3 linked regions of the Diceros bicornis minor genome follow. The protein of the gene in region 3 purifies or fractionates together with the protein of the main gene of each other region. This does not show direct contact. Links are inferred from orthologs where the notes say so. Each region holds a gene or a part of one and is shown on either strand. Other genes may lie near its edges.

The links.
Region 1: the proteins of WDR62 (region 3) and MAPK8 purify together in Homo sapiens (affinity purification with mass spectrometry; 5 studies listed by BioGRID and IntAct, counting the BioPlex papers as one, with this or other methods). This does not show direct contact. The link is inferred for Diceros bicornis minor from reciprocal best matches to the Homo sapiens genes WDR62 and MAPK8.
Region 2: the proteins of WDR62 (region 3) and CEP170 purify together in Homo sapiens (affinity purification with mass spectrometry; 3 studies listed by BioGRID and IntAct, with this or other methods). This does not show direct contact. The link is inferred for Diceros bicornis minor from reciprocal best matches to the Homo sapiens genes WDR62 and CEP170.

The regions. Positions count from the first base shown.
Region 1 is NC_080745.1:12,136,874-12,144,086, reverse strand, and holds the start of MAPK8 (mitogen-activated protein kinase 8), read right to left. Parts: upstream 3,085-7,213; 5' UTR 3,003-3,084; intron 1-3,002. UniProt on the Homo sapiens protein: Serine/threonine-protein kinase involved in various processes such as cell proliferation, differentiation, migration, transformation and programmed cell death.
Region 2 is NC_080777.1:2,072,476-2,080,383, reverse strand, and holds the start of CEP170 (centrosomal protein of 170 kDa), read right to left. Parts: upstream 3,105-7,908; 5' UTR 3,018-3,104; intron 2,941-3,017; exon of another isoform or gene 2,697-2,940; intron 2,174-2,696; exon of another isoform or gene 1,999-2,173; intron 1-1,998. Other genes in the region: SDCCAG8 (serologically defined colon cancer antigen 8), read left to right, coding at 3,752-3,818.
Region 3 is NC_080773.1:8,598,915-8,605,970, forward strand, and holds the start of WDR62 (WD repeat-containing protein 62), read right to left. Parts: upstream 3,076-7,056; 5' UTR 2,511-3,075; coding exon 2,334-2,510; intron 1-2,333. Other genes in the region: THAP8 (THAP domain-containing protein 8), read left to right, coding at 3,257-3,339. UniProt on the Homo sapiens protein: Required for cerebral cortical development. Plays a role in neuronal proliferation and migration.

The sequences.
Region 1 (7,213 bases), on a different chromosome or scaffold from region 3:
TAAAGAGCTGGCCTCTTAATGTCAGACATTTTATACTTCCACACGTGCAACAAAGAATCTCAACTATCTAGATGACTCAAATTTGTCAAACTCAACTCACTGGCAAAGCAGACCAACAAGAGTCAGGCTTCTATTCAACAACCTCTTAATAACCACTAGGAAAGCTGGTGACCAGATACTTAACAACAAATTACTTCAAGAAGTTTCACTGAGCCTTGAGTATCTTCACAAGGTCAATTCCATAATATTAAACATTGAGAAAATAGTTAAGATTCCAACCTCATTAATTTTGGTAAAATTTATTCTTAAACTAATTTCCTTTCCAAGTGGCCTTTCTCCCAGGATGTAAGGTGGTATGAAGGACATAGTTTCCTACTCTGCCAGGACACTTAAAGGGAGTCCTTTTCAAATTCATTAACGGAATACTATAGTACTTACTAAGAGACTCAGTGCTATCTCTTCCTTTAAATATAATTTAGAGTGGAATGGGGAGTGACCGCTAATGGGTATAGGGCTTCTCCTTGGGGTGATGAAAACGTTCTGGAAAATGGTGATCAATGCATACCTTTGTGAACATATTAAAAACCACTGATGCACAACTAAAAGAGTAAATTTTATGGTATATCAATTACATCTCGATAAAGCTGTTATTTTCAAAAACCAACAGAATTTAGAAAACAAAACAAAAACTCTGGCTTGACATGTAGCCTGACAGTGAGCTACTGCCAAAGGACTTGTATCAGTAACTCCTACTGGAACCTGACATACCTTAATTAACCAGGTAAAGCAATAACAGTTTGGTATCTCAAGATTTTCATCCCTTATTTCAATAAAATATCATTTTCTTATTTATTTGTACTCTACATCAGATAACAAAGAGCTCACCTGAAATTCTCCAAAACACATGTCAAAATTCATTAAGTAGTGAGTAGAAAAGAGATGTAACTTGGATAAATCAAGTTATTATTTATTATTATTTATTAAATAAATCAATTATTTTGAGTTTTAGGCCCATATGCTTCATCAATGGTATGCTTCATCAATAGTATTAGTACAATGAAGAATTTAAAATTAAACATTACCAACAAACATTTCTAAAATGTTATTAGAAATTAAACATTTCTAATAAAACTTTTATGCAACTTGTTTCCTTTGTTCTAGCTTTTCCACTTAAAATACAGGAGTCATCAGAAACTTTTCAATTAATATTCACAAAAGGATAAATGCAATCATTTTAGACCCCTACTGAAATATCACTGTGTGTCTGTGTGCAAGATATATATGTATATGAATGCTATATATACATCGCACACAGATACACACATATTAAAAAAATTTTTTAGACAAGGTTTTATTTTAGGATTTAAAAGTATAGAATAGAAAAAAAAAAAATTGATACTGAAATGATTCAAAAGCCCCTACTGTCGTGACAGATAATACATATGAACTGATCATTTAGCCATCTGGAAGTAACAGTTTGCACAAGGCTTCCAAAACTTTACAGAGAACGTTAAACTTTTTTTTAAGGCTTGATTTGAAATACTATCAGTTGTAAAGAGCTTTACATTAACCTGACTTTTATTGAACACTTACTACATATCCAGGCTAGGTGCTGGAGGAGACACAGACGCAAGACAGGCCTGTCCTCAAGGAAGTCCCATTTTGATGGCTTGCTTTTGTCAGGCACAGCACTAAACATGTTCACTTACAGCATCTGACCTCCTAGGCTTAACCCACAGCAGGGGAATCTGAGGTAAACGTTACAAATCACTGTAAGGCTGTAAGACTGAAAAATTAAATTCGCAAATAAATAAAAGCTGTTGTACATTTAGACCAAATCTAACTCTACTTCCTAATATAACATTACACTATAAGTTCCAGATGTACTACTAAAAAATACTAAAATGACCCAGAGTATAACTATACCTTTTTTAACACACATCACTTACATAACCGTCTCATTTAAAGGCACATCTATTATATTTCAGTCAAAGCATCCTCTTCCACTAAAGGATATTTCTTTTTATCTTCAAACTCTCCATCTGAGTACAGTACGTACTGAACAGTTGCTGAATGAATGAATGAAATGATGTTCTAATTGCCGAGGAGGTATTTGCTGGATGCTCATCTCAAAACACAATGGACTGACACACCAGAATTCTACTGTAACGATTACTGAATTTCAGAGGTAAAAACAGTAACCACCGAACATCGTCTGATACCACGCAGTCAACATGTTACCAAGTTCACAGTAAACATCTGATAGAGAACTTGCAGAAATTAAAATTAAAAGTGTTCATCGCAATACTTTAAAACGGACTTGGTTCTACCACCTAAGGATTGGGAACACAAATGCAAGACAAAGAGGTCGGAGGGTGGGGTGAAAAAGTCAAAAGGTCACCACCGAGCGACCGTCCAGAGAAACGCCCGCTGACCACTGAAGCTCGCGCCGAGCTTGACGGCCACCCTTCGCCCCAGCCCCAGGCCCCGCTCTCCCTCGCAGCCCAGAGCTGAAGGCCACCCCAACCTTGTTCCGCGCCGCTGCTACGTTCGCTCAGAACGTCAGCACAAAGAAACCACCGGGAAACAAAACACGGTCCCCGTGGGCGCCGGGACCGGGCCACCGCCGCGGGAGGCACTAGGGCGCGGCGGGACGCCCCGGCGCCTCCGCCGAAGTACTTCCGAACTTGCCACCCACCCCCGCTCCCTTCTCGCCTCCCGACGCGGGCGCGGGACCCGCACAAGCAGGGCGCGCGAGGACCGGCGGGCGGAGCTGCGCGGCGGGCCAGGGTCCCGCAGCCCCACGCCCCCCGCCGGCTGCCGCCTCCCGGGCCGCTATTGTTCGCGCGCCGCCCCCGCCCCGCGCGCCCCCCGCCCCGCGCGCTCCCGCCCCCACCACGGGAGGGGGGCACCGCTGGGGAGAAGGCGGCAGCCGCGGCACAATAACATAAACACGGCGGGGCCGCGGGCCGCCAAGGCCCTACGACGGCCGCCGCACTCACCAGGCAGCGCAGCGAACGGCGACAGGAGAGCCCGCCGGCGGGCACCGGCGCCGTCCGGGCGGTCGCCGCGGCCGTTACCCAGCGCCGCTGGCCGCTCCGCGATCCGGGCCGCGTCGTCCGGCCTCGGCCGCTCCGCTGAGTAACAGGGACGCGGGCCGTCACCGCGCACGCCCGCCCACGTCATCGCGCAGGGCGCCGCCCCCACGCCTCGCGAGCGGCCCGCCGGGCGGGGCGGCCCCGGGGCCCGGATTGCGGGGCGGGGCTACTCTGGGGGCCGGGAGGACTGGCGGAGGTCGCCCGGAGGCGGAGCTGCGGAGAGAGCCTCTGAGGGCGGCGTGTGAGGGGCGTGGCGGGGAGCCGGAGGGGGCGGCGCCCTGCTCCCGGCACGTGGCGGCGCGTGGCCAGAGTGCCCGGCGGCTGGCCCGGGGCGGTCCGCTAGTAGGAGCCAATACCTCAGGGGCTCCTCGCCCCGGGGTTTGCAGGTGAGGTGCGCTTAGACCAAACTTGCTCGGAGGAGCAGACTTCCCGGCCCCGGGCGCACACCTGAGGGACGAAGAGCTCATTACCTTGACCAACAGTGTGGTGCATTCCGAAGACACCTGCGCAGGGCCCAGCAACCCACAAGCAAATAAATGTTCCCTTCAACCAGCTGGAAAAAGCTGCCTCTTGTTTTCCCAAAATCCACCTCTGGTGCAACCCACAAGCAAATAAATGTTCCCTTCAACCAGCTGGAAAAAGCTGCCTCTTGTTTTCCCAAAATCCACCTCCTACCAGATTCCATGCATTACGCTATTTCTGGACCCCACAAAGCGTGTAGATGTTGTTATAGAAGTGACACATTGGCAAGCCCTTAAATATCCAGCAATGAGTGGAAGGGTGTCTAAACTACATACATCTTGGCAATAGAATACATTTTAGCTATTTAAATGCCATGTGTTGGAGGAATTCTTAACAACAAGAGAAAATGTTCATAATACATCATTAAGAAAAAGAAGCAAGTCTATATATAGAGAGAATGATCCTACTTATATACTATATATACATAGAAAAAACCTGGAAAGAAATATGCCAAATTATTTTAACCATAGTTCATCATTAGACTGTGGAATGAAACGTAAATTGGTTCTCTTTTATCCTTTGGGTATTTTTCCATGGGTTCCAAATGGAACAGTTATGTTCATAATCAGAAAAATGTACATTACTTTAATAATGAATCAATAAATATTTATTGAATAAATGAGTGAATTCAGGTAGACTATCTTCCCATGTCATGTTGGGTTGGCCTATTTCCAGTCATTCTGAAATGGAACGCAAATGTGAGCATTCATTCATTCATTCTCTCCTCATTCCCTCCCTCCCTCTCAGGCTTCTTTATTTCCTTCCTTCCTTCCTTTATTTCTCCAATAAGTATTTATTGCATGCATTCTGTGCCAGGCACTGTGCTAGCACTGATAATAATATGATGAAGCTTACAGACTTAATCACTTTAATTTGGAAATAGTAACAGTAAACAAATGCAAAGTGATCACCTCATTATAATACAAATTGATATGGCTACACAGTATTATGAAACCAATTGATAGAATTAATAAAGCCAGGAAAGGCTTTCTTGAGGAACTGCCTCTTGAACTGAGAATAGATTTAACTAGGCAGAAAATATTTCAGACAGAAGTAACTTAGTGGGCAAGGGTCTTGTGGTGAGAGGGAGCAGGGTGAGTTGGAGAAATTGAGGAAAAGCCAGTGCTGCTGGAAGATCAAGGAAGAAGGAGCTATGAGATGAAGTTGGGAAGACTGGAAAGGGACCAAACCTAGTGCAGCCATACTACCCATGTTGAAAATCTTGTCTTTATCCTAAGTGCAATGGGAAGACCCTGACATGCTTCAGCAAAGGGGGTGGCATGGTCAGAATGGCATCTTGAAGATTCCATATTGGCAGGAGGCCAGGTGGATGTAGTAGTCTAGATAACAGATGGTAGAGGTTTGGTCTATGGTAATAGTCATGAAAACAGTAAGAGGAAAGATCTGAAGACCATTTAGGAGATCCAAAGCACAGAAGTTGATGATGGGCTATGTGGGCAGTGAAGGAAAGAGAGATATCAAGGAAAGCTCACAGGTTTCTGGCTTGCGGCCAAGGATAGATGTTGGTGCTGGTTCAGAGATGGGAATCTTGGAGGAGGACAAAGCTTGAGTGGAAAGATGGTGAGAGCAGGTAGTTTGAAGGCTTTTGATCTGCCCAAAAGAGATGCCAAGTTGGCATTTAGAGATACAGAGCTGGGCTCAGGTAGATAAGAGATGAATCATCGACAGATAATGATGACTTGAAGTCTTGGGTATGGATGAGTTAGCCTAGGCCTGAGGGAAAGAGGGTAGTGGGCAAGAACAGAAGACAGCCAGGAACCAAGCTTGAGGAACTTCAGCATTAAATGGCCATGAAGAGGATGAGCCTGCCAATGACCTGCCAGGGAGGTAGAAGGAAACAGGGATTCAAGAAGAAAGGAGTGATCAATAATATCAAATATAAGAGGAAGCTTGAAATCCTGGAGTAGTTAAAGCCAGAAGTGAATTAGAGTGGGCTGAGGAATAAACAAGAGATGAGAAAATGGAGGTGGTGGATAACTAGGAGTCAGGCAGCGAAGAAAGAGACAAGCCTATTTTACATCTGGTAGGAAGACTGTTGAGAGGGAGAGGTAGAATAGAAGGAATAAACATGAGTGTAAGTTTCCTGGGAGAGCGGGGTGGGGGTGTGATTGGGCACACAGGTGGAAGTATTGGCAGGTACCTCCCAGTCCCCACCAGGCAAATTAAAGACCTGGAGGTAACAAAAGACGATATGCTCAGAGCTGTTGTAAAATAAGAGGTGTTGCCAGAACAGAGCTCCAGAGTTTCCTGCCCAGGTCTGTAATACTATCAACAGCCTCTCTTTCATTCAACAGGAAGAACTTCTGATTTATTAGCTTCAGTTTACCGCTGTCAGCTTCCAATGATCTATACCTGGAAGGGACATCCCGTGTGTTTAAATATGTACATATGCGTGTGTGTGATTTCAGACAGCATTTCACTATTTGTGATTGAATGTAATCATCTCTGATATTCTACAAATTCAAAATGTTTTTTGTAACCCAGATGTGGCTCAGGGCCTCCTTCTTCCTTCTCACAGCGTTTTGCTTGTTACCCTATCGTGGTTCCCTGTGAACCTATTGGGGGCTGACTCAGAAAAGGAGGAAGAGCTAAGGAATTCAGGTTTATTGCCTCTTGTCCCAGGGGAGTTGTCTTGGGGACAGCTGGTCCTTGGGTCTCTCTGAGGCTGGGATGGGGGAAAGAGAGAAAGGGAGGCTGCAGGCCCCTTAAATCCAGTCTCTGCTGGAACCCTGAGAAATGGTGAGGAAGAGCTTGCACCCTGTCCAGAGTACCTCTTTCCTTGTCATCCTCCCCAGACCACATACACACACTGGTTTGCTTTGGGGTTGGGCCTTTGGCTAAGGTGTCAGTTGGACCTCACCAAGCTGTTCAAGGGTACAGAAACCGAAAGTTGAGACTTGATCTCACTTCCTAATTCCCTGACCTCACACTCCAGGTGTGGGGAGTCAGGGAGAGGGGGCTTACTGTAAGGCCTGCAGAAGGGCATCTCCGAAGACACACCCTCTCTCCTGACCCCATCTCCGCCAGAGCCCTTCTTCTTTAGCCTCGCTTTCAAGCCACCCAGTTTGGTTTCCCAACCAGGCCCCTGGTCAAGTCACCCCTCCCACCATAGGAAGAAGAGGTTCAGAAACTCAGTCAGTCACTCCCTGACTCTAGGATGCTCTTTGAGGCTCTTTCAGGGTAGAGCCTGTGGGCTCCAGAGGGAGTGGCTCAGGCTCTGGTTGCATGAGTAGAGGAAAGATGAGTGTTCATATTGCAAACTGATGTCTCCAACTGCAAGAACTATGACATTTCCTCAGGGGTAGAACATGACCAAAAATGACCAGAGTTCCTCAGTCACAACTTGAACAAAACAAAGTAGAGAGAGAGGTGGGTGGTACACTAATTTGAATTTACAAGTAGTACCCCCCTCTTTGCTTGGGCTTCCTCCTTTCCTTCGCTCTCCTATGCACACATCGCTTCTAGGTGCATGAAGAGAGACAACCCAGCTATTCAAGCCTATAGATTGAGTACACACGCATGTTCTCATGAAAAAAATGGTCAGCATTTATTCTTCTAAGACGGTGGTTCTC
Region 2 (7,908 bases), on a different chromosome or scaffold from region 3:
CAGATGTGTTCTTATTCTTTGGTATCGCCCACACTGGCTAACTCACTGCTAAGCACATCTCTCAACAAATATTTGAGTAAATAAATCAAAACTCATTTCACCAAGGGTAGCTGATTATTAGAAATCTTGGTTATTACCCAATGTTTATGAAATAAAGATGGTCTGAGATTTCTCCCCATAAGAGGACACCCATTTCTTAAAACACATCAACATTTAATGCTCCAGCCAATATTATCCATCCACCAAGGATTTTTCAGATGGCATGTAACCGCTCTTTTGTTACACTTCCAGAATAATTTGCAACTGTACAAATATTTTAGTTGGCAATTTAGCATCACTCTGTTAAAATTAAAATAGCAAAAATTATTTTTCAGAAGTAGAGTTTTGTTGGAAAAAAACATGTTGACAACAAGTTTAAATATATACAGTATTCAGTACTAGATGAGTGATATCTGATTACTATCAGATGCAACAATGAAACCAGTGGTTTTTTTTTCAGTGATAAAAGGAAACAAGAAACTGATACTTGGAACAAATAAAACAAATCACTAAGCATAGAATTTTTTAAAGCACCGTGATATCTGCATCAATATGCATAATGTATGATAATTTTACAGTGTAAATTTCACTATTCTAATGCTAAGATAGAAAATATGCAGATGGTTATTTGTTGCTATACAAAGTAATTTTAGAACCCCATGAAATTACCAGTAAAATACATTTAAAGTTTGATTTAATATAATATCAGACCCTGAATTTAATTACAGATTATTTTAAGTTGAAATTTAAGAGAAAGATTAATGAATTATTTTTAAGAAGGCTCTTAAAAAGCAATGTAGAATTAAAGGATAAAAATTACATGACAACAAAGAAGTCCTTTATGGCAAAATCAACTCAATAAAAAAGTGCAAATTTAATTCTGATAAAAAGTTCAACATGAATTTTTTTCTCAAAAGGTCAATTCTTGTTTAAGTTGAAAATAATATAATTCATTAATCAAAGAAAAATGAACTTCACAGGTTCTTGTTATGTGGCAATTTTATTCGTAACAGAGTTTATAGAGTTGATCATATCATAAAATACTGCTGCATATCAGGAAATAAAATTAAAATATGGTTACTAATAAGTAGCAGGGAAACAACTCCAACAGTTGCTGTTTTTATGAAAAGCCCATGTTAGGGCATCTTTCCCTATATCAGTAAGTTACTTTATAAAACTAAAGTTCCACTTCAGTAGAATTACTATTTTTACATCACGAAGGACTAGATTGATACAACCAGGGGCATCAGTGCACTTGACTGTCACAAACAACTCAGACAGCCTGCAGAGCTTTGCATAAATTTTCATAGATAGGGCCGGGGGACACAGCTGAAAGATCACCCTGCAGAACAGACCTTGGTTTCACTTGGCTCTGCCTTTCCCCAGCACTACGGCTTGGACAGACAAGTCAGTTCACTTTTCCAAGTTTTAAGTGTCTTCCTCTGTCTCTGTCAAGCGCATTTAGACTCTTCCGTTTTAAAACACCAAAATGCTACAGTTTCTATCAAGTCAGGAAGAACTAAAAGCAGCCCTGGTTTTACTTTTTAAAAAAATAACGGCAGAAAAACACAAAATGGCTTGTCTCTTGCAATGTCACATTTACAGAGCTGAATTCCTAAATCCGAGAAGCACGCCCAGCTAGGGTTATATCAGTGAACCTCCAGATCCCGTAGTATTCACCACGTAACTCCTCTCACATCACTCCTCCCCTGCTCCTCCCCACCCCGCCTCAATCTCTCTTCTGCTTGTTTCAACGCCAGCAAATGGCTGTAAGCATCGTACGCTTCAGGATCAAATCATTTTAAAAGATGCGTTTTCAATCAAGTGTATCCTCTGCTTCCCCCACGTTCCTTCCAAACGAGTGAATTTTCCTGAAGACAGTGAAAATACGAATCAACAAATTCAGGCCTATGTTTTGTTCTGATTGCTCAAAAAGCAAAACGGAAAGATGCATCCTACCCATTCCCTCGGGAGCAGGAACGCGCTACCCAGCCCAGGAGAAAACAATTGCGCTGGTTCATCTCCCCGGTCCACGGAGCGCCGCCGCCAGGCCCTCCCAGTCCCGTCCGCGTCGTCATCTAGGCATGCTACACTGCCCACCGTGGCCGTGCTCGGACAGCCACTGGCCCTGTCTTCCAGGGGCTTACACTCTCCAAATCTGCGGAGGGCCCCGAAACAGAGACGCGATGACTCGGGACACGAATCCACGGCTTCCCGCCCCGCCTCGGGCAGCCGCTCGCGTTTTGTTCTCGTGCACAGGACGAAGGGAAGACACCCAAACCGCGCACTGGGCTCCGAGGACAATGCAGCCGCCGGGCGGCGCGTCCCCCCGGGGCACCACGGGGCCGCAGCCCTCGCGGGGTGCGGGACACCCCTCTCCGCGTCCTCCGCCGCCCCCAGCCCCGGACCAGCGGCACAAAAAGCGTCGGGACAGCGCGGTCCCCGGCGGGGGGCGCTGCACAAAGCCGGGGGCGGCGGCGGCGGGCCCGGAGGCCGGCGGGGAGCGAGGGGCGCGGCCGGGCCCGGCGGTGGGGTGGGCGCCGCGCGGCGTCCGGGAGCCCCCGGCCCAGCCCCCCGCGCCCTCGCGCCCGCGCCCCGCCGCCGCCCCGAGGCGGAGGATGTGGAGACGCGGCCCCGGCGCCGAGCGCATCACTCACCCCTCAGCGCGGGGACCGGCACCGGACGGGGAGGCGGGGCGCCGCGCCCGAGTCTCTCGCACGCCGTCGTCCCCCACCCCGTCGCCGCCGCCGCCGCGGACGAGCTCCCGGGCCCTCAGCCCCGCCGTGCAGTAACGTTATTCCACACACGCCCCACACCTAGCGGTAACGGCAGACAGCGGCCACCTAGTGCGCAGGCGCCTGGGGAAAGGGCGAGGAGCCCGGCCGCGTCCCCTCCTCCGGCTCCGTCCCGGCCATCTCTCACTGCGCAGGCGCCAAACCCAGACAATGAAAGCGGGTTGTGCTGAGGGTCTCACCCACCAGCTCGCCCAGCTGCCCAGTGCGCAGGCGTGCCCCAAAGACCCGCTCGAACAATGAAGCCGACCCTCGCGTTAGCTGGGACCGCAACCCGCAAGGACTACAGTTCCCAGCGGGCAGTCGGGTGGCTGGGCATGCTAGGATTTGTAGTGTCGGCCCCCTTCGCAGTCAGGCTGTATGGAAGATTTAGAGCTTCTTTCTTGAGAATTTATTTGGCCGTTTTGGCACATGTCGCGGCTGAAGGGTGCAGAGCTTGTTATGTGCGTCCTTGAGGAGCCTCCAGGATCAACTGCATGCTAGCAGATTTAGAGGAGTCAAGGCCTTCAGTGAGCCCTTTCTGTCAGTTGGGTGGTCCAAACAACAGGATGGGAAGAAGGCAGGACTAAGCCAGGGTGGGCTTCGGAAAAAGGGCGGAGCCTCCACGCAGTCTCTTGGCAACCGGATCTGGGCAAAGCTAGCGCTTGGAGCGCGGTCCCCTCTGGGAGTTGTAGTGTAGTCAGAAGGGCTCTTAGGAGCTTGGAGCCTGAGGCCCGGAGCCTGCAGACTACAACTCCCGACGTGCACCATGAGGACCAGTGGGTAGGAGGAGCCCCCGCGAGCTCCTGTCTGGTTCCATGCTTCCCCAGTCAGCAGCGGCAGGAAGCCGGCGGGCGCTTCTCCAGCGCTGAGGCCTGTTGTTCGCGGAGAGCGCTGGACGCTCCGTCACGTAGCTCCCGTCTCTGGGCCCCGAGTCTGTCATGGCGAAGTCCCCGGAGCACTCTCCCCTGGAGGAGGTTCTGGGGCAGTATCAGCGGAGTCTCCGGGGTGAGTTGCTCCGAACCTCTGTGCCGTAGCCCCTGGGGACCAGGGCCTGGCGGGCGGGAGCTGACCAGGCGCGTCTCCTGACACCTGGCTTCGGCCCCAGCCAGGATGCGGAGGAAGAAGATGGATGTTGCCGTGATCTTGGAGGAAGATAAAATAGTTGGTGTTTGTTTTTACCGTTAACCAGCGTTGTTCCCCTTGGCTCCCTTAATTACCTGACCCAACTCTGATTTTGGCATCCTTGGGCATCCTTCTCACCAGCGCCAGCAGAAACTCTTGGACGGCTCTCTGCTGCTTTTGCCCAGTTCCCATATTTTGCTGTCTAATCCAATAAATTCTCGATTCACACTTTTTACGCATTCAAGTTATGGTGTAGTGGGCTGAATGTGATTCGTTAGACCAGGAAAAAAAAACCCATTAATTATTATTTAAATCACAACGCCTTCTATTTAGGGTCTAGGCTGTTTACATATATTAAGTCATTTAAAACTTACAACAACATTAGGAATATCCATCTTTTACACATAGGGAAATCGAGATACAAAGAAGTTAAGCCAAAGCCCACACAGACCAGGTTAGTGGCAGAACCAGGTATTAAATTCAGTCAGGCTTGTCTGTGTCAAAAGCCTGTTTTTCTTTATTAATAATGTCACAGTTACTATTACTGAAACCTTGTTGAGTTAATTCAGATTTTCTTATTATAGGACCCTATGAGTGAGTATCTATAGAAGTGATGTTCCTACTTGTGGATAGCTCTGCCCTCTTGGAGGTCATATATAACATCTAGAAACCTCAGTTCTGTTCAAGTGAAAGTTATAGTATTGTCTGCAGAGTTATAGTGAGGAGCAAATGAAATAATCCACGTAAAGCAGTGATTGTCAAAATTTTTTTTTGCTGTTACCCGTAAGTAAGAAATACATTTTATATGGGACATATACGTACATATAAACTAAAAGAAAAGTTTTATTAAAGAATATTTATTGTACTAGGTGTAATACACTCTATTTTCTATTATTTGGTATTTTATTAATCCTCTAGGTCATGACCAACAATTTAAAAAAATTATTTAAAGCATTTAGAACATTGATTCTTTTATTAATTCAGTGCCTACTGTGTGTTAGGCATACTAGGTGCTGGAGACACAATAAGGAACTAGACAGTCCCTGTCCCCATGGAGCCTCTGGATTAGTGGAGGAGAAAGACAATAAATAAAATAATTACAGATTACTATGATAGAAAATAAGGGTAGAGATTAGTGCTTGGCAAGTAAGAAGCACTTATTAAATGTTAGCTGCTCTTTATAATTGGTACTTGCAGCAAAGAGAAGATTTTTCAAGGAGATTGGGAAGTTTATCTTCTAGTGACTCTAGACTTTCTAAGGGTTGTTGTTTCTTGTTTCCATCTGTCAGCAGTGTTACAAACTATCAACATTCTCAGTATTCAAACTGCAAGTGTAAAATAATTGGTCTTGATGAATACCTTCATCAGCCTACTGATGTTTCAAGAGCTGTTAGATACAGAAATAACCATTTCTAACTTTTCATGTGAAAGCAAGAAAAATACTGTGCACAGTGATAATATGAGTGATTTTGTTTAATTTTTGAGGTTGGTAAAAAAAATATTTGTTTTCCGTTATAAGTTTCTCCTAATGCTTCTCCTTTGCATTCCTTATTTTGAACCTTTATGTAAGCATTAGAGGCTATTTAATATTAAGCTTGTTTTGTTTTGTTTTGTTGTTTTGGTGAGGAAGATTGGCCCTGAGCTAACATCTGTGCCCATCTTCCTCTGTTTTGTATGTGGGACCCCGCCACAGCATGGCTTGATGAGCCGTGCGCCTGGAGTTTGAACCTGCTAACCCCAGGCTGCTGAAGCAGAGCGCGCGGACTTAACTACTATGCCACTAGGCTGGCCCCAATATTAAGCATTTGGATGCGGTAAAGTGGCTAATTTCAAACTAATGTTATAGTACTGTGTTTAATACCCATGATACTGCTTTCAATTATAGAGTGAAGGGTTTTCATTCAAGGATAATACATTTTAAAATAAATTTTAAATTTAGTGTGATAACAGTATAAGATAGTGAAAACATTTATAATCAAGAACAAACATAAAGCAGAGAAATAAGTTAAAAAAACTTTTTTTTTAATTTTTACTGATAGTTTTAACAATGAATCAAGAGATGGAACCTGAAATTTTTCATGAGTTTTTAGGACTTTTTAAATTATTTAGTAGCATTTTAATTTTTATGTTTATTTAGTTTATATAGCAGCTTATGGAAGGAAACAAAACAGAACTAATCCTGAAGCAAAGCACGATTAGAAGTTCTTCGTTTCACACATATAAATTACCACTTCTAAATAGGATAGCTCCCTTTAAAGTCAAATTTGTGTTTCTGAATAAACAAAGTATGGTGGCATTATTTTACATGTAGAACTTCATTATTTTAAATGTTTTTGCCGAATAACTTGAGAATTATGTTACTATACAATCGGGTAACATGCAATTTAAAGTTCTTTTGTCTTGTTTTATTTTGGCTTTGTTGGTTTGGTTTTCTCTATCTGCCATTTCTTCCCCAAAATGTCTTGCCTAGTTCATGCTTAGAGAAAGGCTATAGGCATTCTTGGTCTTTCCTCACCAGGTAATCCTCTGGTTTCTAAATAACTGTACACATAATCATTACTAGTATCCCTTCAGTTATATTCAGCCAGGAAGTAGCCATAGAAAAATGCAAAATGCTTTCACAATTTTCCATAATAGTCCCTCAATTTTTACAACTTTACCTCATTTCTTTAAGTATAATTTTTGGTACAGTTATAGTATATTAAGAATTTGAAGTTCTGATATGAAAAGCAAAGTCAAAGTTGCTTTCTTGCTTGTAAGACTTGAGTGGAATCCTTGCCTCTCCTTGACTCTGGTGACCCTAGAGCAGCCATGGAAATAGGGAGCCCGTTTGCAGACTCTACACTCTCCTCTCATCCTCTCCCTGACACTTTCCAGATATATTCACTGTTTGTCCTCTCTAAGGATATCTCCTGCTTTGGGCTGTCTGTTCCCCCAACTTCAAGAAATAGGAGAGGTTTAATGACTCCCCTTCAAAGTAAGAGTTCTGGCAGAAAAACTAGAAGGTGTCATTGCCCCACAGATCTGTAATATTATTTCTACACAGTAGATAATCTGAAAGTTTCCAGTGTGGTAAAAAGTGAGCATATCCCAGGTATCCTGGGAGTCACGGAATTTATTCTAGAACCAGAAGTGACTTGGGAGGTCTCCTGGCAGTATAGTTAGGTGTTCGTTCACTCTATAGGCAGCTGGAATTCAAGATGCCTAGAATGGCTGAGAACTATATTGGTAACTAGGGAGAATAGCAAATACCCCTCCTCTAATTTAAATTCAACACATCATTGTATAAGGCCATTAGGTATAAAATAAACAAGTTTATAGCCAAGAAAGGATCAGAGAAACCAGAATAACAGGCACCCAGGCTGTTTTAAGTTTTGTACACTTGAATGTAGGGATGTGGTATTAGAAAGAGGGAGAGAACTTGTGAGAAGTGCAGTGTCCCAGCCTTCATAACGATCATGTCTGGTCTGTTGCCACAGTGTTAGATATGGATACAGTTTTATCAACAACACCTGTATACACAACTCACTGTTCTAGCCGCCTTTGGTTGGGTGGGCATAAAGAAATATGGAACAAACTTGTACTGTAACATAAATATCTCATTTATTTTCTATATATATTTTCTATGCTGGCTCCCCCTTTTTCTTTCAACATTTTGGTGTTTCAGGCTCTGGGTTGAATTTGTGGAAGAGTGTGATGGGGTCAGAGAAGAGAATGTGGAACTACAAGCCAGGTCCCTGTACTCTTACTGTTGCTTTGCTGATAATCATCTGTGTTACCTTATGCAAGTTAATGAACTCTTCTTGGATTCTTGCTTCCTCATCTGTAAAATGAAAAGTTTGGACTAGAATTATTGCCTTTAGGAGCAAAGCAGATGACAAAATGTGTGATGGAGTCAGTGGAAGACACTAGAGAATGGTGAGGCTTGTGGCCAAACTGGCCAAAAGTTTCTGCTTTCTCTAAGAACATTCCA
Region 3 (7,056 bases):
TGCCGCTGGCGGCCGGCCCGGGTTCGGATCTCGGGCGCGCACCAATGCACTGCTTCTCAGGCCATGCTGTGGTGGCGTCCTACATAAAATAGAGGAAGAGGGGCACGGATGTTAGCCCAGGGCCAGTCTTCCTCAGCAAAAAGAGGAGGACTGGCAGATGTAAGCACAGGGCTAATCTTCCTCACAAAAAAAAAATAGAGAAATGAAAGGCAAACAGGATACTAATAGCTAATGTTCACTGAGCATTTACAAGGAGCCAGGCCCTGTTCCAATACCTATAACTGTGTTAACTTATTAATGCTCACACTAACCCTGTGATGTCACTACTGTCATCATCATCTCTATCTTACAGACGAGGAAACAGAGGCCCAGAGGGGTGACCCATCCAGGAAGGAGCAGCAGCAGGACTCTAAACAGGCACCCAAGCAATGGCACTTACGTGGGTCTTATTTGTCAATCAGCATTACTGAGGATTAGTATAACTGGTAATTTTTAAAGATTTTATGTATTTATTTTTTCCCCCAAAGCCCCAGCAGATAGTTGTATGTCATAGCTGCACATCCTTCTAGTTGCTGTATGTGGGACGCGGCCTCAGCATGGCCGGAGAAGCGGTGCGTCGGTGCACGCCCGGGATCCGAACCCCGGCCGCCAGCAGCAGAGCGCATGCACTTAACCGCTAAGCCACCGGGCCGGCCCTAACTGGTCATTTTTAGACTAGGTCTTTTGCAAGCCAGATGGACTCTGTCCAGCCAAGCAAGAAAAATAAAAAATGATATCAATTATCCAAAATACATAGTCACAGCTGTATTTTAATAATAACAGTCACAGCTGGCACTAACAGAGTACTTGCAATGTGCCAGGTATTGTTCTAAGTGCTTAAGACAGGTGAGCTCACTTAATCCTCAAAAATACCCTATAAGGGAATATTTATACTACTATCCTCATTTTACAGATGAGGAAATGGAGGCACAGAAAAGTTCCTAACAGAAAGAACAGAATTAAGGTTTAAGCCCTGGTGGGCTGGGTCCAGAGGCAATGCTGTTAGCCACCTTGCTGTACTGCCTCTCTGAAACTGCTGTGGTTATTCCTCTTTTGTACATTGTTTAGAGCTCACAAGGCACTTTCAGGAACATACAAGATGAGGGCTATGAAGTTCAGGGCGCTGGGTGAGAGATTAAGGTGGGTGTCTGCTTTAGGCTGGGGTTCAAGAAAGCCTCTCAGGGTAGGGATAGTCACGCTGAGACGTGAGTGATGAAGAGCCAGCCAGGTAGATTGCCGCAAAAAGCCCAGAGAACTCACCAAACACAAAGGTTAGGAGGCTGGAAAGAGCTTGGAGCCTCCGGAAAACAGAAAGCAGGCCAGTGTGACTGAATCTTCGTGAGAGAGAGGACAAGGCAGGTACAGCCAGAGAGGTGGGCAGGGGCCACTTGCCCAGGGCCTTGCAAGGAGTGGGTGATATAATCAGAGTGCAGCAGGAAATCAAGGAGCAGGAACAAGATCCACCAGCAGCTACGTTTCATCTGGACACTGTGCCAAGCAGGTCATATTCACAACTTCATTTCACCTCTCTACAACTCCACGGTATGGTTATTGTTATCTCCATTTTACACAAACAGACTTTGTGGCTCAAGGAGTTGGAGAACACTTTTTTAAAAATTGCGCTGTGCTAATCGAATTCCTTCTACCTACTCTAAAATCTCCTTTGTTTGTGTCTCAGGACTTAGGAAACTGTTCTGTATGCCCTCCCCCCGGCAGCGATGCTGAGATTTTACTCATGGTATTCACATCCTCTCCATAACTTAGGGTGGCAATATGGAATAAGAATCCCACCGTGGTAAGGAAGAAGGAAACAGAAGGCAGGGGTGAGGGAAGGAGGAGTAGAGCTGAGGGAGAGTTGAAGCAGGTAGGACTTGGGACTGAACCTCAGTAGGGACCCTAAACACCCGGCGAGGGGCGAGGTCAACCACAGTGGAAGGGTCCAGAGACACGTCTAAAGGCGACTAAAGGGATATGCAGAAAGGCGGGACTAGGAGGTGATCAGACCTAAAAAGCACTCCGAGGGATGGGACCAGGGAGGAACCCAGCAACGTGCCAAGGGTGCCGTGGGGCCAGGGGTTTAGAAGTGGGCTAGGAACGATAGGCAGTACCCGAGAGAGGGCACGGGACGGTGGGAGGAGCCCTGGCTAAAGGGGCGGGACCTAGGAGACGGGGCGGGGCCAGAGAGCAGCCAAGGGGACTAGCCGAGGCTGATAGACGGGGCCAAAGATCTGAGGGCGGGACCAGGGAGGCCCAGGTAGCCACGAAATGGGTGGGCAGGGCAAACAGCACCTCACCCGGTTCTGCACCGTGTCCTCGGGCGCCGCCAAAGGTCGCGTCCGCCGCCGGAGGCAGAGCGGTGGAGCGGGGGGCGGGGAGGACTGGCCCCTCCGCGCCGAAACTCCCGCATTGACGGATGGCAGCTTCTCGACTGCATCGTTCCGCGCGTAGCCTCCGGGTCCCAAGGCTGCCATCGTCGCGCCGGAGGCGGGCGACCGTTTCACTCCTCAACCGCCGCCGCCGCCTCCACAACCCACTTGAATAGCGAACAGCCGCGGGAAAGCCGGCGCCGCCGCCCATTGGACGCGGCAGGCCGCCGGTCTGGCCAATCGCAGGGCCGCCGAGCGCCGCTTTTGACCAATGAGGGCTAAGAGGCGGGGCGGAGAGTCTGATCGGGTGGAGCCACAGCTAGTCTGCCTGATGCTCGATCAAAAGTCGTGGCTTTTTTATCCAGTCTGTGTTTTCACCATTCACTGAAACACACAGGTTTTAACTATCACGAGGCGAAGGCCAAAGCCTCCGCACCTCGATTTTTGCTGCTGCACGACCCTCACCCACCAAGACGACTATCCGCCCAACAGCAGTCGCCCGGATGTAAGCGTGGGGTGGAGCCGAAAAAGACTGATGAGTTGGCGCAGACTCAGAAACGCCGTGACTCCTCCACTCCCCCAACGCGCGATAAGGTCAGGGTGGCTGAAATGGGGCTTTGCTCAGACGCACTCGCTCTTCCCCATTCGCCACATGACGAGGGCGTAGCTGTGGTAACGCGGAAGGGCGCGTAGTACGCAGGCGCTCTCTTCCCTCCCCAGCACGTGACCAAGCACCAAGGGACGTCACGTGAGGTAGGCGGTGAGAGCGCGGGCGGGGCGGGGTTCGGCGGCGTCCGGCGAGGACCAAAGTGCGCTGCAGATCGGGCCAAACTCAGCGGGGCAGGACAGCCATGCCCAAGTACTGCCGGGCTCCGAACTGTTCCAACACTGCGGGCCGACTGGGCGCGGACAACCGCCCGGTGAGCTTCTACAAGTGAGCGCAAGCGCGGGGCGGGGCTTGCAGGGGGCGGGGCCCTGTGGGGGCGGGGCCCGAGGATGAGTGCCGCTGTGTTGTTCAGCCGGTCCAGCCCGCGAGTGTGAGTTAGCAAGGTGAAGAGACAGTATTCCCAGCATTTCACCAGCACACACCTCACGTACGAAGGTGCAGATGTGTGACAGCAGGGGTAGACGATTAACTACAGGTAGTGAACGGGGCGAACGGAATGAGAGGAGGGCTGCGTAGGGAGAAGTGAGGTTAGTCCGAGCTCTATAAGAGCCTGCAGCCGCCCACTCGCCATCTCCACGAATTTGAGGCATCTCAAACTCAAAACATCTGAAACTGACCTCCTGCTCTTGTCTCCCCCACAGCCTTTCCTATCTTAGTTAATAGCTTTCAATCCTTCCTGTTGTTCAGGCTTGAGATCCTTAGCGTCATCCTTACCTCTCCTCTTTCCTTACACTTGAGAAACTAAAAATCTTAGCTTGAACAGTAAAAAAAAAAATCTTCCTTCTCATTTATTTGGCTGGTATAGCAGACACAGAAAGCCAGCTGAAGAGTTAATAGGAAAAAGTATTTCTATATTTTGCTCAAGGACATGCTGCAGATGTAAAGTGACACAACTCTTCTTTGAGTGACTGCTGCTTTCTTACTCACTAGGAAACTTTGTTCTCTGAAATCATAGATGATCACAAACTTTGCTGTTTGAAATTATATCAGTAACCATAAAACATCTCACTTAACGCCTGGAGGAGTTAAGTCACTTTGACACAAAGAAGCGGCCTCGATTTATAATCCAGGTGCAGAGTTTCCAGTAAGGGGTTTCAGGACAGAGTAGTCCACATGTGTCTAAACTCTATTGCTTCCAAGGAGACAGGACCCTGGGCCCGCTTCACAATCCAGACCTGGTATGGATCCATTTACCCACAGTTCTGCTTTGCTTTGAGCCTATCCCAACACTGTTTCATTTGCATTTCACCTAAACTTCAGCCTTCCCCCAAACCCAGATAATAACTCTTATCTGTTCCTTTGATGAGACTCCCCACAGTACCTCTGGTGTGCAGTCTCCCTCCTTGCCATGGTAAAGAAACCTGACTTTGTTGGACTACAGGTTTGTTAGTCTAACTGGAGCAGGACACATTCCTCAACCAGTCCATCAGCAAATCCTGTTGGCTCTCCCTTTAAAATCTATCCAGAATTGACCACTTCTAACCCCATTCTCTGCCCCTACCCTGGTCCTGGCCATTATCACCCCTCCCCCCCACTGCACTATTTTAATAGCCTCTACATTGGTCAACCTGCTCCCACAGTCTGTTCTCAACACGCAGTTACAGGGAACCTGTGAACCCCTGAGTCAGATCAGGGCCCTCCTCTGCTCAGATCCCTCCCCTGGCTCCCACCTCACTCTGTAAAAGACAAGAAGGTGAAGCTCGAGCAGGCAGAAAGCAGATCTACAGAGCCCTACGGGAGCTGGCTGCCCAATATCTGTATGACGTCATCTCCTCCCTCCTGCCCCTTACTCTGCTCCAGTGACACTGGCTTACTCCATGTTCCTCTACCATGCCAGGCACACTGTGGCCCAGGGCCTTTGCCTGTGCTGTTCCCTCTGCCTGGAAAGTTCTTCCTTTTGTGACCACCACTCCGTGTAAAATGATCACCTTCTCCCAGATAGATACATAGTCTCCCTATTTGCTTCCTGCTTTATTACTCCCTCTAACACTCATCACTCTCTGGCATACCACGTATTTGATGTATTCCTTTATTGTCTCCCCGACTAGAATGTCAGCTCCAGGAAGGCAGGGATTTTTATCTGTCTTGTTCTGTGTTGTGTCCCCAGCACCTGGAACAGTGTCTGGCACATAGTGGGCACTCAGTAAATATTTGTTGGACGAATTCAGTGAATGGATTTCAGATGGGCTCCTCAGGAAACCAGCCGTCCATGTTCCAGCCATCCCAAGAGACCCTGGTGTGGGCAGGAGGAGAGCAGAGGAGTCTTTAAGCTGAAATCAGTGTGTCCAGACGTGCTTTTTAAAATATATCCCTCTGGCACCATTTATTAATTCAGCAACTCTGAGTGTCTCCTGGAGTAAGCAAGCCCCTGCTGGACACAGAGGACCCTGACAGCTCTTGTTCTGGCCCTGACAGAGCTCATGGATAGGTGAGGGGTCAGACATCAAGGGACTGAATACACAACCTGGGAGTCACCCCTGGTCCTTCCTCTTCTTCAGCACCACTGCCCCCAAACTGGCCCATTAACCCGTCCTTTGACTCTACCTTCCAAACACATGCCCATCCTGGAACAATCACAACAAAACCCCTAATAGCTTGGTACTACAATTATAAATGCAAATGGGAAAAATCCTAACTAAACTATTAGGAAATAAGAAAAAGAAAAAAATTCAGTCTGACCACTTCTCATCACCTTTGTTGTCACATTGTAGTCCAAGCTGCTGTCATCTCTTTTTGTGTGTGTGAGGAAGATCAGCCCTGAGCTAACATCCATGCTAATCCTCCTCTTTTTTTTGATGAGGAAGACCAGCCCTGAGCTAACATCTATTGCCAATCCTCCTACTTTTTTTTCCCCAAAGCCCCAGTAGATAGTTGTATGTCATAGTTGCACATCCTTCTAGTTGCTGTATGTGGGACGCTGCCTCAGCATGGCCGGAGAAGCAGTGCATCGGTGCGCGCCTGGGATCCGAACCCGGGCCGCCAGTAGCGGAGCGCACGCACTTAACCGCTAAGCCACGGGGCCGGCCCCGCTGTCATCTCTTAATGAGACACTGACAGCTGCTTGCTGGTCTCCCTGCCTCCACCCCTGCCTCTCTTACAACAACAGTAATAATAATAACTTAGAGAGCACTCACTGTATAGCAGGCACTGTTCTAAGTGCTTCACATATAATAATGAGGAGAACAGTGACAACTGTGCATAGCGGCCAGATGACTTGATAAAAATCATTTCATGTCTGTGTTGTTGAAATCCCACCAGTGGCTGCCAGGCTGTTCCTCACACAGGCTAGTCCATTCTCCCCTCAAGGCCCGCCCCTGAGTCAGTCTTCTAGAAGCCACTGAGCTAAGAATTGGGTGAGGAGCACTTTCCAAAGGAGATTGAGGGGAGGGCATGGATACTAGGTAGGAACAAGGTGAAACATATCGAGGGAACTGGCTGCCGGGAAATACCTTGAAAGCCTTCCCCGGCAGCCAGAGGAAACATTCATTCGTTCTGTTTCAGGCCCTTTCAGGGACAAATGACAGTCATCTCTAATGGAGGGCGTGTCAGTTACGAATTGCACCTGGCTGGCAGTAACAAAATCCCTAAATAACAGTGGCTTAAACAAACTGTGGGGTCTGTAGGAATCAGCATGGTTAAGTTATGTGCAGCAACAAACACAAAATCTCAGTGGCTTATTACAACAAAGGGTTATTTCTTGCTCACACTGTGTCCTTTGCAGGCCATTTGTGGCCCTACTCTACAGTATCTTAACTGGGGACTCAGGCCAAAGGAGCCGCCACTATGTGCAATATTGCTGGTCTTGTGAGAGGAGGGGAAAGGGAAAGTGGGGAGAATCACCCAGTGGCTCCTGGTAAATTTTATACTTAGAAGTGGGGCATGTCACTGTCACTCCTTTGCCCAAAGTGAGTCTGTGGCAAGCCACAGGCCAGTGGAGTGGAGATGTGTAACCTTCATGTGAAGAAGGGCCACAAATGTTTTGAA